Linked DNA regions of Canis lupus familiaris. The protein of the gene in region 3 interacts with the protein of the main gene of each other region in a pairwise test. Links are inferred from orthologs where the notes say so. Each region holds a gene or a part of one and is shown on either strand. Other genes may lie near its edges. The genes, in order: AURKB, AMOT and SEPTIN1.

Evidence for each region.
Region 1: the proteins of SEPTIN1 (region 3) and AURKB interact in binary tests that used the Homo sapiens proteins (3 or more experiments, as listed by UniProt). The link is inferred for Canis lupus familiaris from reciprocal best matches to the Homo sapiens genes SEPTIN1 and AURKB.
Region 2: the proteins of SEPTIN1 (region 3) and AMOT interact in binary tests that used the Homo sapiens proteins (3 or more experiments, as listed by UniProt). The two-hybrid records come from large-scale screens. The link is inferred for Canis lupus familiaris from reciprocal best matches to the Homo sapiens genes SEPTIN1 and AMOT.

What each region holds. Positions count from the first base shown.
Region 1 is NC_049226.1:33,232,083-33,236,219, forward strand, and holds the start of AURKB (aurora kinase B), read right to left. Parts: upstream 2,887-4,137; 5' UTR 2,708-2,886; exon of another isoform or gene 2,653-2,707; intron 2,420-2,652; 5' UTR 2,193-2,419; exon of another isoform or gene 2,138-2,192; intron 1,711-2,137; exon of another isoform or gene 1,639-1,710; intron 1,111-1,638; exon of another isoform or gene 1,039-1,110; intron 480-1,038; 5' UTR 163-479; coding exon of another isoform or gene 124-162; intron 1-123. UniProt on the Homo sapiens protein: Serine/threonine-protein kinase component of the chromosomal passenger complex (CPC), a complex that acts as a key regulator of mitosis.
Region 2 is NC_049260.1:86,411,896-86,415,218, forward strand, and holds part of AMOT (angiomotin), read right to left. Parts: intron 2,103-3,323; coding exon 1,389-2,102; intron 1,053-1,388; coding exon 955-1,052; 3' UTR 1-954.
Region 3 is NC_049227.1:17,876,429-17,880,624, reverse strand, and holds the start of SEPTIN1 (septin-1), read right to left. Parts: upstream 2,910-4,196; 5' UTR 2,696-2,909; coding exon 2,693-2,695; intron 2,517-2,692; coding exon 2,420-2,516; intron 2,333-2,419; coding exon 2,246-2,332; intron 2,034-2,245; coding exon 1,910-2,033; intron 1,616-1,909; coding exon 1,481-1,615; intron 1,387-1,480; coding exon 1,269-1,386; intron 420-1,268; coding exon 318-419; intron 199-317; coding exon 99-198; intron 1-98. UniProt on the Homo sapiens protein: Filament-forming cytoskeletal GTPase. May play a role in cytokinesis.

The DNA.
Region 1 (4,137 bases), on a different chromosome or scaffold from region 3:
TAACACATCCCCTGGCCCCAGTGGACGAGAGAAGGATCTTCCTTATGAATGAATGTCAGCTAATAAATGTTGAATGCAAGACAGAAAAAAATAATTCCCCATTTTTTATCTCCTAAAACGTACTCTGCTTAGGGTGGGCAGTGATGGGGAGCTGGGCTGCATGCTGCCCCCATCACATGCCTTCCGAGGCAGGGTTGCAGGAGCTCCTGGGTTGCTGTCGCCTTCCTAAGTCATCAGCAATCCCCAGTTGGAGCACGCACAGCTCAGCCGTGAGGGCGGACTCCCTGCTTCCGTCTTTGCACAGGTGACACAGTGACCACTCCAACAGAGTGGAGTGGCTGGAGCACCCGGACAGCCGCTGGGGAGCTGAGCAGACGCGGAAGGCGAGGCACAGTGTCCAGCCGGCGAGCAGGCGCGTGGTGCTGAGCCCGCCCAAATTCCTCTTCTGCAGCCCAGGCCTGGTCCCTCCAACGGAGGCCCTGTTAGGAAAGAGATGTCCAGGAAGAAATTTCCCCCTGGGAAGGAGAAGGCCTATGGAGTGGCTGGCCTGCATTCCTCTGCTCCCTTTGCCTCCACCAACAGACCAGAAGCAGCAAAATTGCACGGCTCCAGGCTTCTGGGACATTTAGGAAGTCTGAGGAACATCTGCATTTAATTAATTAATTGCTACTTATAATAATTATCAATTCTTGCCACACCCTTTCCAACAATGAATCTCTATTGCTCCAAGTACCTTTTCTGAACAAGAACTCGAGGCTGTTCCGTGAACAATTCGCGTTAGGATACCTAAAACATCTACGAGACTAAAGGTATCGCTATCCGCTGATTTGACAAAAACAGTGCAGATGCAACATTAATTCCTAAATTTGTATTTAGAATATTTAGAAAACGCATACATTTCGGGGGAAAAAAACAAAACCTTAGAGGTGCCGGAGTTAGTATTCTTTTGGTACAATGAAACGAATTTCAACCTCCTCTTCCTTTGCCGGAAAGGAAAATACCAAGGCAAATCGAGATAACGAAAATTGCAACCTTCCGTGACCCCGACGTGATTTGAACACGCAACCTTCTGATCTGGAGTCAGACGCGCTACCGTTGCGCCACGAGGCCCTCCCGCGTCCGCGGTCGCCCGGGTCTCGTGAACAGAACTATCGTCAGCAGCAGGGGGCGGAGCCAAAGCCTCAGCCCCGCCCCCCCGGGGGTTCAGCCCGCGTCACCTCCAGAGCCGTGCGCGGTCACCTGGGGATGGAACCTCGTCCTCGTGCGCAATCTATGCTTAGGGGCTCTTGGCGCATAGCCCAGCTCTTTAACCTCAGGACACACAGAGAAGCAGCTAGTGTGACTTATTTCCGGGGGTGACAAAGCCATCGCGGTGTCGCTGCAGCTCTGGTCCCTCCCCTAGAATCTTAAATGTAACCCCGGTTTTATCAGCGACTCAGAAAGCCTCTTTCACTAGGTCCTCGGAATCTTGCTTTGTCGTGTGCCGGCTGTGCGTGGTCAAGCGCTGTCCCTTCCGGGGTGACAGGGGTGTCTCGGGTCCCCTTGGGTCTCCCCGCCTGGCCCACACCCACCCACCGCTCCGCCTCGCGCCTGGGCACGCACTGAATCCTTGACGTGGGGAACAGGGACTTGCGGCGGGCGTTGGTGGTATAGTGGTGAGCATAGCTGCCTTCCAAGCAGTTGACCCGGGTTCGATTCCCGGCCAACGCAGCACTTTTTCCCCCTCCCCACAAACTTTTCAAAACCTCGCGCCGGGATGGCTTTTCCGCGGGGACCCTGTGGCCCAGTCACCGCCCGCGCAGGGGGCTGCACGCCCAGCGGAGCCCCGTGACGGCGCGCTTCTGTCCTCGCTCCGACCGCGTCTCTAAGCACATTCACTGAACGGAGGGGACCGAGGGCTCATTCGGCAGCACGATTCACATGCAAGTTGCTTGAATGCAAAACACAAACTCGAACTTTTAGAATATGAGCCCGAGCGCCAGGGGCAGCACCAGCTATCCTCTCTACTTTGTGCCTTCCCGTTCTCCCTTCTTTTTAAAGAAAATCTCCACCGCACGCCCTGGGACGCATACTTCACCGTGAATAGGATTTTATCGTAGGACGAGAAGAACGAAAGAAAGCAAAAGGCACACCGCTTCTCCCCGTCGGGGAATCGAACCCCGGTCTCCCGCGTGACAGGCGGGGATACTCACCACTATACTAACGAGGAGGGAGCTGAAGGAGGCGCTCTCCGGCTCGGAGATCTGGAGCTGTGGCCGCGATCGGCCGGGGCTTGCACCCTTCCTGCCGCTTGGGAAGAGACAGCCGGAGACCCCCCGCTCGCCCTGGACTGCCCCCAAGCCCACGGAGGCCGGGTCGTGGTGGGTCCCGGCCCGTTCCGCTCCCTGTCATCCGCAGCCCCGGCCCCCTGGGCCCGGACCTGCGCAGGAAGAAGGGGGCGGGAAGGCGAAGGGCTGGCCCGGGTCGGTGCGCTCTCCCCGTGCGCGCCCCCCGCGGGCAGGCCGGCCGGGCTGTGCGCTCGGAGCAAAAGAGCTCCCGGCGAACCTGCTCCAGGCTCTGGCCGGTTGCGCGGGGTCTGCGGGGAGGCCTGCGCGCGGCGCCGGTCCCTTCCCCAGCGCCTCCGGGCGTCCCGGTCTCCGCCAAAACCAAATGGGGCTCGTCCGGGATTTGAACCCGGGACCTCTCGCACCCGAAGCGAGAATCATACCCCTAGACCAACGAGCCGACGTGAGAGAACGCTCGCGGACGCCTTTAGAGGTCGTAGCAGGCCCGATGCGGTCCAGGGCCACGGCTCTGGGTGGGGGCGGCCTGGCGAGCGCGCGGGGACCACCCGCCCCGACGCCGCCGACTCCCGAGCGGGCTCTGGGGATCTGCTCGGCCGCCCGCGCGCTCCGACTCCTCCCAGGAAATAACGTCGGGGAAGTAGGAGGGAGTGGTCTCGGCCTCCCGCGCTCCCCTCCCTCCCCGCGCAGCTCTCCGGGGCTACCTGCTCGCCGTGGTCACGGTCTCCGTCACCTGGAGTCTCGACTCTAACGGGCCGCGCCCGCCGCCCTGGGACCCAGTGCGCTGGCGCAGAGGTGCCTGGTTGGGGACGATGAATGAGCCCTGAGCTGCCTAGGTGCACACCTGCGCCTCCATCCGCCCCTGCACCTGTCCACCCTCCTGGAGCGATGAGCAGCGCCAGGGCCCAGGCCAGGGAATAATTCCCGGGGCCGAGAAGACCCACGGAAGAGGAGTCGTTAACGAATGGGGGGCGGGGCGGGGCGGGGTCGGGGACAGGCGGGATCGGGGCACCGAGCCGGGTCTGGCCACCAGCACTGGTTGCAGGACTTCCCGCCAGTGCGATCAGGTTACCGCTATCTTCCCGACTCCCCTCCGCTCTCCCCTTACCTCCTAGGACGGCCAGGCAGGAGCCCCCCCCGCCGCCTAAGGCCCCCAGACGGTAGGGGGATCCGAGGCAAACGCCCGCACGAGTGTCTAAGGCCAGGTCTTAGGGCCTCGCAGAGGGTTCCGGGCTCCGGGAGCCTCTAAGCGCTTAACGCCCTCAAGCGTGCCCTCGCTCTGGGGCCACCCGGAGTCGCGGCGAGACACGGTGGCGCCCGGTGCCCGCCACCTGCGCTGCCTCCCCTCTGCTCGGTGCCTGCTCTGGGGAGTTCTCCCAGCAGGGTCTGAGCAGCCGCGGCCCTGCACCTCCTGGTAGCACCTCGGGGCTGAACCATTTTGTTCCACCTGCGGGTCGTCTGATTTGTAGGGCCAGGCCCTTCCTAATGCCCAACACACCGATACTTTGGTGGGGAGACATCACTGAAGGGTTCAACCCTTCGCTCTTTCTTTCCCGCGTGTCCCTGGGGCAGACAGCAGGGGAGGGCAGCAGGGGACAGCCCCTCCTTTCCTGTCCGTGTCCCAAGCCTTTTTGCGGGGCTCAAGCGCTGAGGGCTGGTGTTCCAGCATCTCCCTCTCCCTTTTGCAATTTGTGTCTCCTCTTAGGCCCCAGCGTTCCCCCCAAGTCTCTAGTTACTGCTCTCTTAGCTGCTCTCAAGCACCTGAGATCTGCCCAGAGGCGGAGCCCTACCTCCCTGATAGGATGGGATGAGCGCTGTGGCCCATGTCCCTAGAAACCCCGGGCGGTCTGAGAGA
Region 2 (3,323 bases), on a different chromosome or scaffold from region 3:
CTCGTTTTGCCAATGACTGGAAATTTGAGACTGGTGACACAGCCAGTGAGTCTGTGCTGGAGAAGAAATAAACACAAAGCAGATTGGTCTCAGGAAAGGCAAGCGAGCTGTGCTGGTGGCCACACACAGCACCTCATGCAACTCTCCATCAAGGCCTCTGATGGTCTAACTCCCTATGAAAGAGGAAGTTATACATCATCACACAGCTAATTTACTCTCCTAGCATCTGAAAGCAATATATTAATTATCCAAATGCATAAATTACTCCAGAGTATATATATGAAATGTATGAACTTCCACAAGGGAACCAAAAGAATCCACTTCCAAAGCACCACTGAAATGAAGATAAACAAACTCCTGGCACAGGGCAGCTGGGAAATCGGGAGGGAAAATTAGCTCCAGCACCCTTCCACACCCCAATATCCCCTGCCTTTTCTCCAGCTTACATAGCTCCCGAAACTATTCTCTTCCATGAGCCCAAGATGAGAGCTCTCTCTCTCTGGATGCTGCCTAGATGGTAAGTGTACAAAACAGCACATGTGCAAATTCTCTCCAGCTTCCCACTTCTGAACTACATGTTACACACTGCCTTCCAAACGTACTGTGCTCTTCAATAAAAATGATCTGGAATATGGCAAGGCTAAATAAAATGACACACGTTGAAAACATTCATGTACATCCAGCTATTAACAGTCCTAGCATTTGTATAAATCCCAACAATAAACTTTAGAGCACATTCTGATTAATCGGTCTTTAGAGGTAACGCTCTAAGTGTGTACCAGACTAGGCTGGAGTTTGTATGGTGTTACTTAAGTACTACATCGTCTCAATAGAAAGCCCCTTTAAAGAACATCCCCCCCAACCCTAGTCCTCACCCTCAAAATAAGAACAAACAAAAGGGAAAAATGATTAAAAGCACTCTTGCTGAGCAACCGCAGTTCTCGGATGTGCCGTTTAGATGAGATATTCTACCATCTCTGCATCAGGCTCTTGTCCCAGGAGCTGAATGGGAGCTTTCCTTTCCAGAGTATTGGAGTGGAAAACAGGGCCATCTAAACAGAGACAGGGGATTAGAAAGCAGTTAGGGATAAGGTGACGATTCCTAGAAACAGACACCTTCCGAGCCACGAAGCCAATGGCAAAGTGAGACTTGCCTGACACCCCCTCCCCGTGTCCACCTGAACATTTGCTTCTACTAGGAGAAGGGCCTTGGCTCACCCCAGTTCCCATCCTGGTGTCCCAAGAAGCCATTTACAGATGCTGCCCTTGTGCCTTGTGATCCATTCCCTTTAGCACATGAACGACTGTGGCCAAGTGACCAGCGGGTCAACAAACCACCTGTAATTGAGGGCAGAACCCAAAGCTTCCCCAGTATGGACAATCATTACCTGTCTTATCGGGACTGCAGGTCACGCTTGGTATAGACAAACGACGGGACCCAGAACTGGCAGCTGGACTTGAAGAAGCCTCAGCCAGAGCCAGGGCCGGAGCTGGAGCTGGAGCTGGAGCTGGAGCTGGAGGAGAAGCCGCAGCCGGAGCTGGAGTTGGTGCCTGAGTCGGAGCCGAAGCAGAAGCCTGAGACGCTTGCGGAGCCAAAACTGGAGCGGTAGCCGAAGCTGGAAGCGGAGCCGGAGCAGCTGAGGAAACCTGAACAGCAGCAGTGGGAGCAACAGCAGCAGCAGCAGCAGCAGCAGAGGCAGCAGCGAGAATCGGAGTGGCAGGAGCTGAAGAAACAGCAGTAGCAGCGAGGGCAGTGGCAGCGGCCGGAGATGGGGCAGAGGCAGTGGCAGCTGGAGCGGCAGCAGCAGCAACGGCAACTGGAGCGGTGGCTACCATGGTGGTGGTGGTGGTGGCAGCGGTGGCAGTGTTGGTGGCAGCGTTGGCAGTGATGGTGGCAGCAGCAGCGGCAGAAGCGGCTGGCATGGGAACAGAGATGGGAGCGACAGCGGCGGTCTTGTTCGGTTCCGTTCCCCGTTCCGTCTGGGTGCTGCAGTCACGGCTGCCCGTCTTGGAGTGAGCAGACAGCAGGGGCGTGGACGGTGGCACCGGCGATGGGGTGGAAGGGACGGACTCGACGCGGTAGTCTCCACCCAGGAGAATACCTATAAGGGGAGAAAGAGACAGGGGTTAGGCAGGTATGGGCTCCTGGGACCCAGATGCACACGTCTACTGGCCCTCTTCTTCCATGTAGAAGGTTCAGGAGGAACTTTCCTTGTGCCTCCAGAGAACCCAGAAGGCGGGTGTGGCAGGCTCATCCCACCTGGTCCTCACTCTCCACCCCAGCACCGTGGATGACACTTTTAGGTGTCCTGTGAATCAGTTTTGATTTTTTTCCAACAGCCACTGATTTCCAGCGAGCTTTCAGAATGCTTCTAGTCAGTTCCACTTATCACCCACATCATCCACTACCAGACAGCTGGGAAGGATTGGGGAAATAAGTTTGTAGTCATGGATGAATGTGAAAATAATTTTGTAAATGAAGGTTCTAATCAAGACCGTGGTCTCTGGAATGCGTCCTCTAGCCAAGGGACACTGCAAGTGTCCGACAACTAAAAGGGATATCAGAAACAACAAAAAGACCTAAAATTAAAATACAAAGCTGGTTTTCTCAGAATCTAAAAATGTACCTCATGGTGTCCATGATATTTCTGGGATTTTGATTAGAGGGTAAGGCCTAGGGATCCCTGGGTGGCACAGCGGTTTGGCGCCTGCCTTTGGCCTAGGGCACGATCCTGGAGACCCAGGATCGATTCCCACATCGGGCTCCTGGTGCATGGAGCCTGCTTCTCTCTGCCTGTGTCTCTGCCTCTCTTTCTCTCTCTGTGACTATCATAAATAAATAAAAATTTAAAAAAATATTAGAGGGGAAGGCATGGACAGGAATGGAATGAAAAAGTACATTCAGTTCTCATCTCAGAACATTCTGATAACAAAAACCTGCCACCCAGCATCATTTAGCTTAACTAGAACTCTGAGTCCTTCTATTATATAGGAGGAAAGAACAGAGAAGATCTGGAATTCTGAAATCTTGACTGACATGAAGCTCACGTGGGCTTTGGACAAAGACTAAAGATCTCAAGTGGCAAGGTCAGATCTGAGAATTTTTAAAAGGAAACTGAAGTTATCTTCCTTCCCACCCAAGGAGAACTCAGAACTCTTATCTTTGAAGGCCTTGGATTCAATCAGTGTTCTCTCAGTGAGATATCAGAATGTGGAGGAGCTCCTTTCAGGAGGATAGAAACCCAACCTGGTATATATCATCCTCGCTAGAATGTGGACCATCGCTCCTTTTCCTTGCTGAATGGGCACATATCTAAGTCAGG
Region 3 (4,196 bases):
GGACCAGAGATCGCCCCAACTTTACATGTTGGGTGCCATTGACTCAGAGGCGTCTTGGGCTCCCCGCTGGCCTCAGAAAGCATGCCCACCTTACTCACCCTCCACGGTACCCCAGGAGTAGCGGCGTCCCCTCACAGGCCGGGTCCCACCGTCCCTCACTACCTCGCAGGAACCAACAACTGCAAAAGGGATGCTTTCCTGAAAGGCAGGAGTCAGGGATCACCGGTGGCCCCTCTTGGGCAGAAACCTCGTTGTCAACCTCCACCTCTGCAGCCGCAGCCCTGGCTTCTTTGCCCCATCCTCCTTTGCATCTTTACCTTCATCTCTGCATCCTGCCTCTTGAAGTCCTCATCCTCATCAGAGTCACAATCGGGGAACTGGTAGATGTTGATCTCTTCCTCTTTCAACTGGTCCCTGATCTAGGAGCAGACAGATGCACAGACAGTGAGAAACAGAGGCTGTGAGCAGCAGACACTGCCTGGCTGGAGACAGTGAGATAAGGTACCAGGTGGTCAGAGGCAGGTGACATGAAAGGCAGATGGTGACATACAGGAGGCCCCAAACCAAAATCTCAGAAGGGTGCCTGGGCTGGCTCACTCAGTAGAGCATGTGACTTTTGACTTCAGGGTTGTGAGTTCAAGCCCCACGTTGGGTGTAGAGATTACTTAAGATCTTGGGGCCCCTGGGTGGCTCGGTGGGTGAAGCATCTGACTTGATTTCAGCTCAGGTTTTGATCTCAGGGTCATGAGCTCAAGCCCCTGTTGGGCTTAAAAAAATTTTTTTTAATTAAAAAAAATACTTTTATTTAAATCTTAAAAAAAAACAAAACAAAACAAAACAAAACAAAACAAAAAAAAACTCAAGTAATGAGAGAGATATATATGGTGAAAAAGAGACAAAGACACCCTAACAGGGATGACTGGAGCCTGGGAAGATTATAGGATGAGGCAAATACCAAAAGCCCAGGAGAGAGAGGCCTAAGCAGAAACAGTGAGAGAGGGCTCTGAAGTTACGATGGGGATCATCATTCCTTGCTGCCACCCTCAGACAGACAGGCCTTAGCCAAGCAACCAGTCCAGGGATTCTATTCCGAGCCTCCAGCTTCTTCAGCCAGCTTACTACCCACCTTCCTCAGAAACTCTCTCCTGCAGTGTGGTTTGACTCATTTTGCTTCCTTTCCCGAGATCAAAGAAGTCAAAGCTGATTTCAGGTTTGATAACAACTTTTGGCTTCATGTAGGGCCAAAGATCAGAGGTTACCAGACATACCTTCTGCTTGAGAGCCTGGGTCTCCTTAGGCATCAGGGCATCTGCTTTGCCAATGACTGGGATGATGTTGACCTTTTCATGTACTGCCCGGAGGAAGGCCACATCTAGGGGCCGGAGCCTGCGTGGAGTGATTGGTCAGGGTTCAGCCTTAGGCCACGGAAACCTTCCCTGCCCCTACCCAATACCTCAACCCTCGAGGGTGTCCCCCAGACCCTCGGCCAAAGGGTGAGATGAAGTAGAGGCAGCAGTGGACACGGGAATCCTGAATGTTCTTCCGGTTCAGGCCACTCTCATCCCTAAGATACTGCTCAAATTGCTCCTCAATGAAGCGCACCACAGGCAGCCAGCTGGGGTGTGGGGCAAGAGAGAACAGTCACAGGGGAGGGGCCACAGGGGAGGGAAGGGGTCGAAGCTAGCCAGGACCCTGGAGGTGGGAACTAGTTTCTTGGACTCTAACCAAAGACATCAAAGGAGATTGATGAGGTGTAGTTCAGCTGTTGGGAAGCCACATGGCCACCAGATGCAGACCCACCTTTTGGGGAGGGCAGGGGCAGAGCAGACCAGTCCTGTAACTGACCCCTCAGCCTTCACAGAGTAGCCACATGGGGAAGCTTAGCCCGCGCTCCTTCCATTGTTCTCACCAGTCTGAACAATCCACGGAGTCCCCAAAGCCAGGTGTATCCACCACTGTCAGCTTCACCTTAATACCCCCCTCCTCGATCTCCACACCCCGGCGCTCAATGGTCAGTGTTCGTGTCAAGCGAGCTGTGGAGATGAGAAGTGGTCAGGGAGCTTCGCAGGGGTCTGAGCCAGGTTTCCTTTCTCAGAATCCCAGTTGCCCCCACCCATTTTTTTCAGGGGAGTCTCAGAAAAGCACTGAGCTACCCGAGTGCCCCCAAAAAGTCAGGGGAGACCCAGATGAGTGCCACCTGGGGATAGGGGAGACAGAGGACCTGGAGAGGACAGGATGGTCTTACCGCTGGCCTCTGGCAGTTGCCGGTCCTCATAGAGATTGGTGAGAAACAGGCTGTTGATGAGGGTGGATTTTCCCAAGCCTGACTCCCCTGTGGACAGGACAGACCCACCTGGTCAGGTGAGGAGACAGCCAGGGTCTCTTGAGGACCCAGTCCCCTGTCCCAAACCCATCAGACCTGCCACCATGAGTGTGAAGTCGAAGCCCTTCTTGACGGACTTGCGGTGCAGCTGATTGGGGAGGGCGGCGAAACCCACATACTCCTTGTCCTGTTGCTAGGGGGCAGACAGTATGAGGCTGCTGGGAGCGGCAGGCAGGGCCCCCAGTGTAAGCTGACTTCTCCTTGGGAGTGAGGAGAAGTCAGCCTACCATGGGTTGACTTGGGCCTGGCGACTCCGGGGTTTGGGGGCTGAGGGCAAAGATGCCTGTATTCCTGGGCAGAAGGACTTACCATGGCCCTGCTAGCTGTCGCTGCACCTGCTGTCTCTCCCCACTTCCTCTGGTGGGGCAGGAAGTTGAGTGTGGCAAATAAGGGGGCGGGCAATGTAGGAAGCTGAGATGCTCGAACTGGTGAGGAAAGCCAAGACCAAGAAAACCTGGGAGTTCTCACTTTCTGGATCCCTTTGGCTATGCCCTCTTGGGAAGCTTCAACACCTCAGTTCTCTGCACACCCTTATTCCAAGCCCCCACTGTGACCCCATCACCCTGGTGAGAGGTGGGGTATAGGCAGAGAGGAAGGAAGCAGATTGGTGTCTTTAGCAAGTGAGATGAGACTTTGACTGAGATGGTTAAAAAAAAAGTTCCCAGAGACTAAGTGGACCAAAAGTCTTAACAGATTTAGGGGTGGAAGAAGCCATCAATTTTCCTTACCAGCTCATGCAATTGATTTTTTTTTAAAGATTCTATTCATTTATTCATGAGAGACACAGACAGAGGGGCAGAGACATAGGCAGAGGGAGAAGCAGGCTCCTGGATGGGGAGTCCAATGCAGGACTCAATCTCAGAATCCCAGGATCACGCCCTAAGCTGAAGGTAGATGATCAACCACTGAGCCACCCAGGTGCCCCTGATTCATTTTTTTCCCCCCATGCAATTGGTTCTTTTTCTTTTTCTTTTTTTTTTTTAAGATTTTATTTATTTATTTGATAGAGAAAAAGCACAAATACATAGAGTGGCAAGCAGAGGGAAAGGGAAAAGTAGGCTCCTCACTGAGCAGAGAGCCCAGTTGGTGGGGGGGGGGGGGGGCTCCATCCCAGAACCCTGAGATCATGACCTGAGCTGGAGGCAGACACTTAACTGACTGAGCCACCCAGGTACCCCTTCATGCAAGGGATTCTTTTTTTTTTTTTTTTTTTTTTTTTAAGATTTTATGTATTTGAGAGACAGAGAGAGCACAAGCAAGTGAGCAGCAGAGGGAAAGGGCGAAGCAGTCTTCCAGCTGAGCAGGAGCCCAAAGCCTGGCTCCATCCCAGGTCCCTAATGTGCTTCTGTGTGTAATTTTTTGGTGTGTATGCATTTTGAAAAATGTGTAGTGGGGATCCCTGGGTGGCTCAGCGGTTTAGCACCTGCCTTTGGCCCAGGGTGCGATCCTGGAGTCCCGGGATCGAGTCCCGCATCAGGCTCCCAGCATGGAGCCTGCTTCTCCCTCTGCCTGTGTCTCTGCCTCTTTCTCTCTGTCTGTCTATCATGAATAAATAAATAAAAGAAAAACCTTAAAAAAATGAAAAATGTGTAGTATACAGTGCATGTTTACACAAATGATTATATATATGAATACATATTTGTTAACTTTTTCATTCAGCACTATTTTTTTAAATTTTATTTATTTATGCATGAGAGACAGAGAGAGAGGCAGAGACATAGGCAGAGGGAGAAGCAGGCTCCCCCAGGGAGCCCGATATGGGACTCCATCCTGGGACTCCAGGATCACACCCTGAGCCGAAGGGAGACACTCA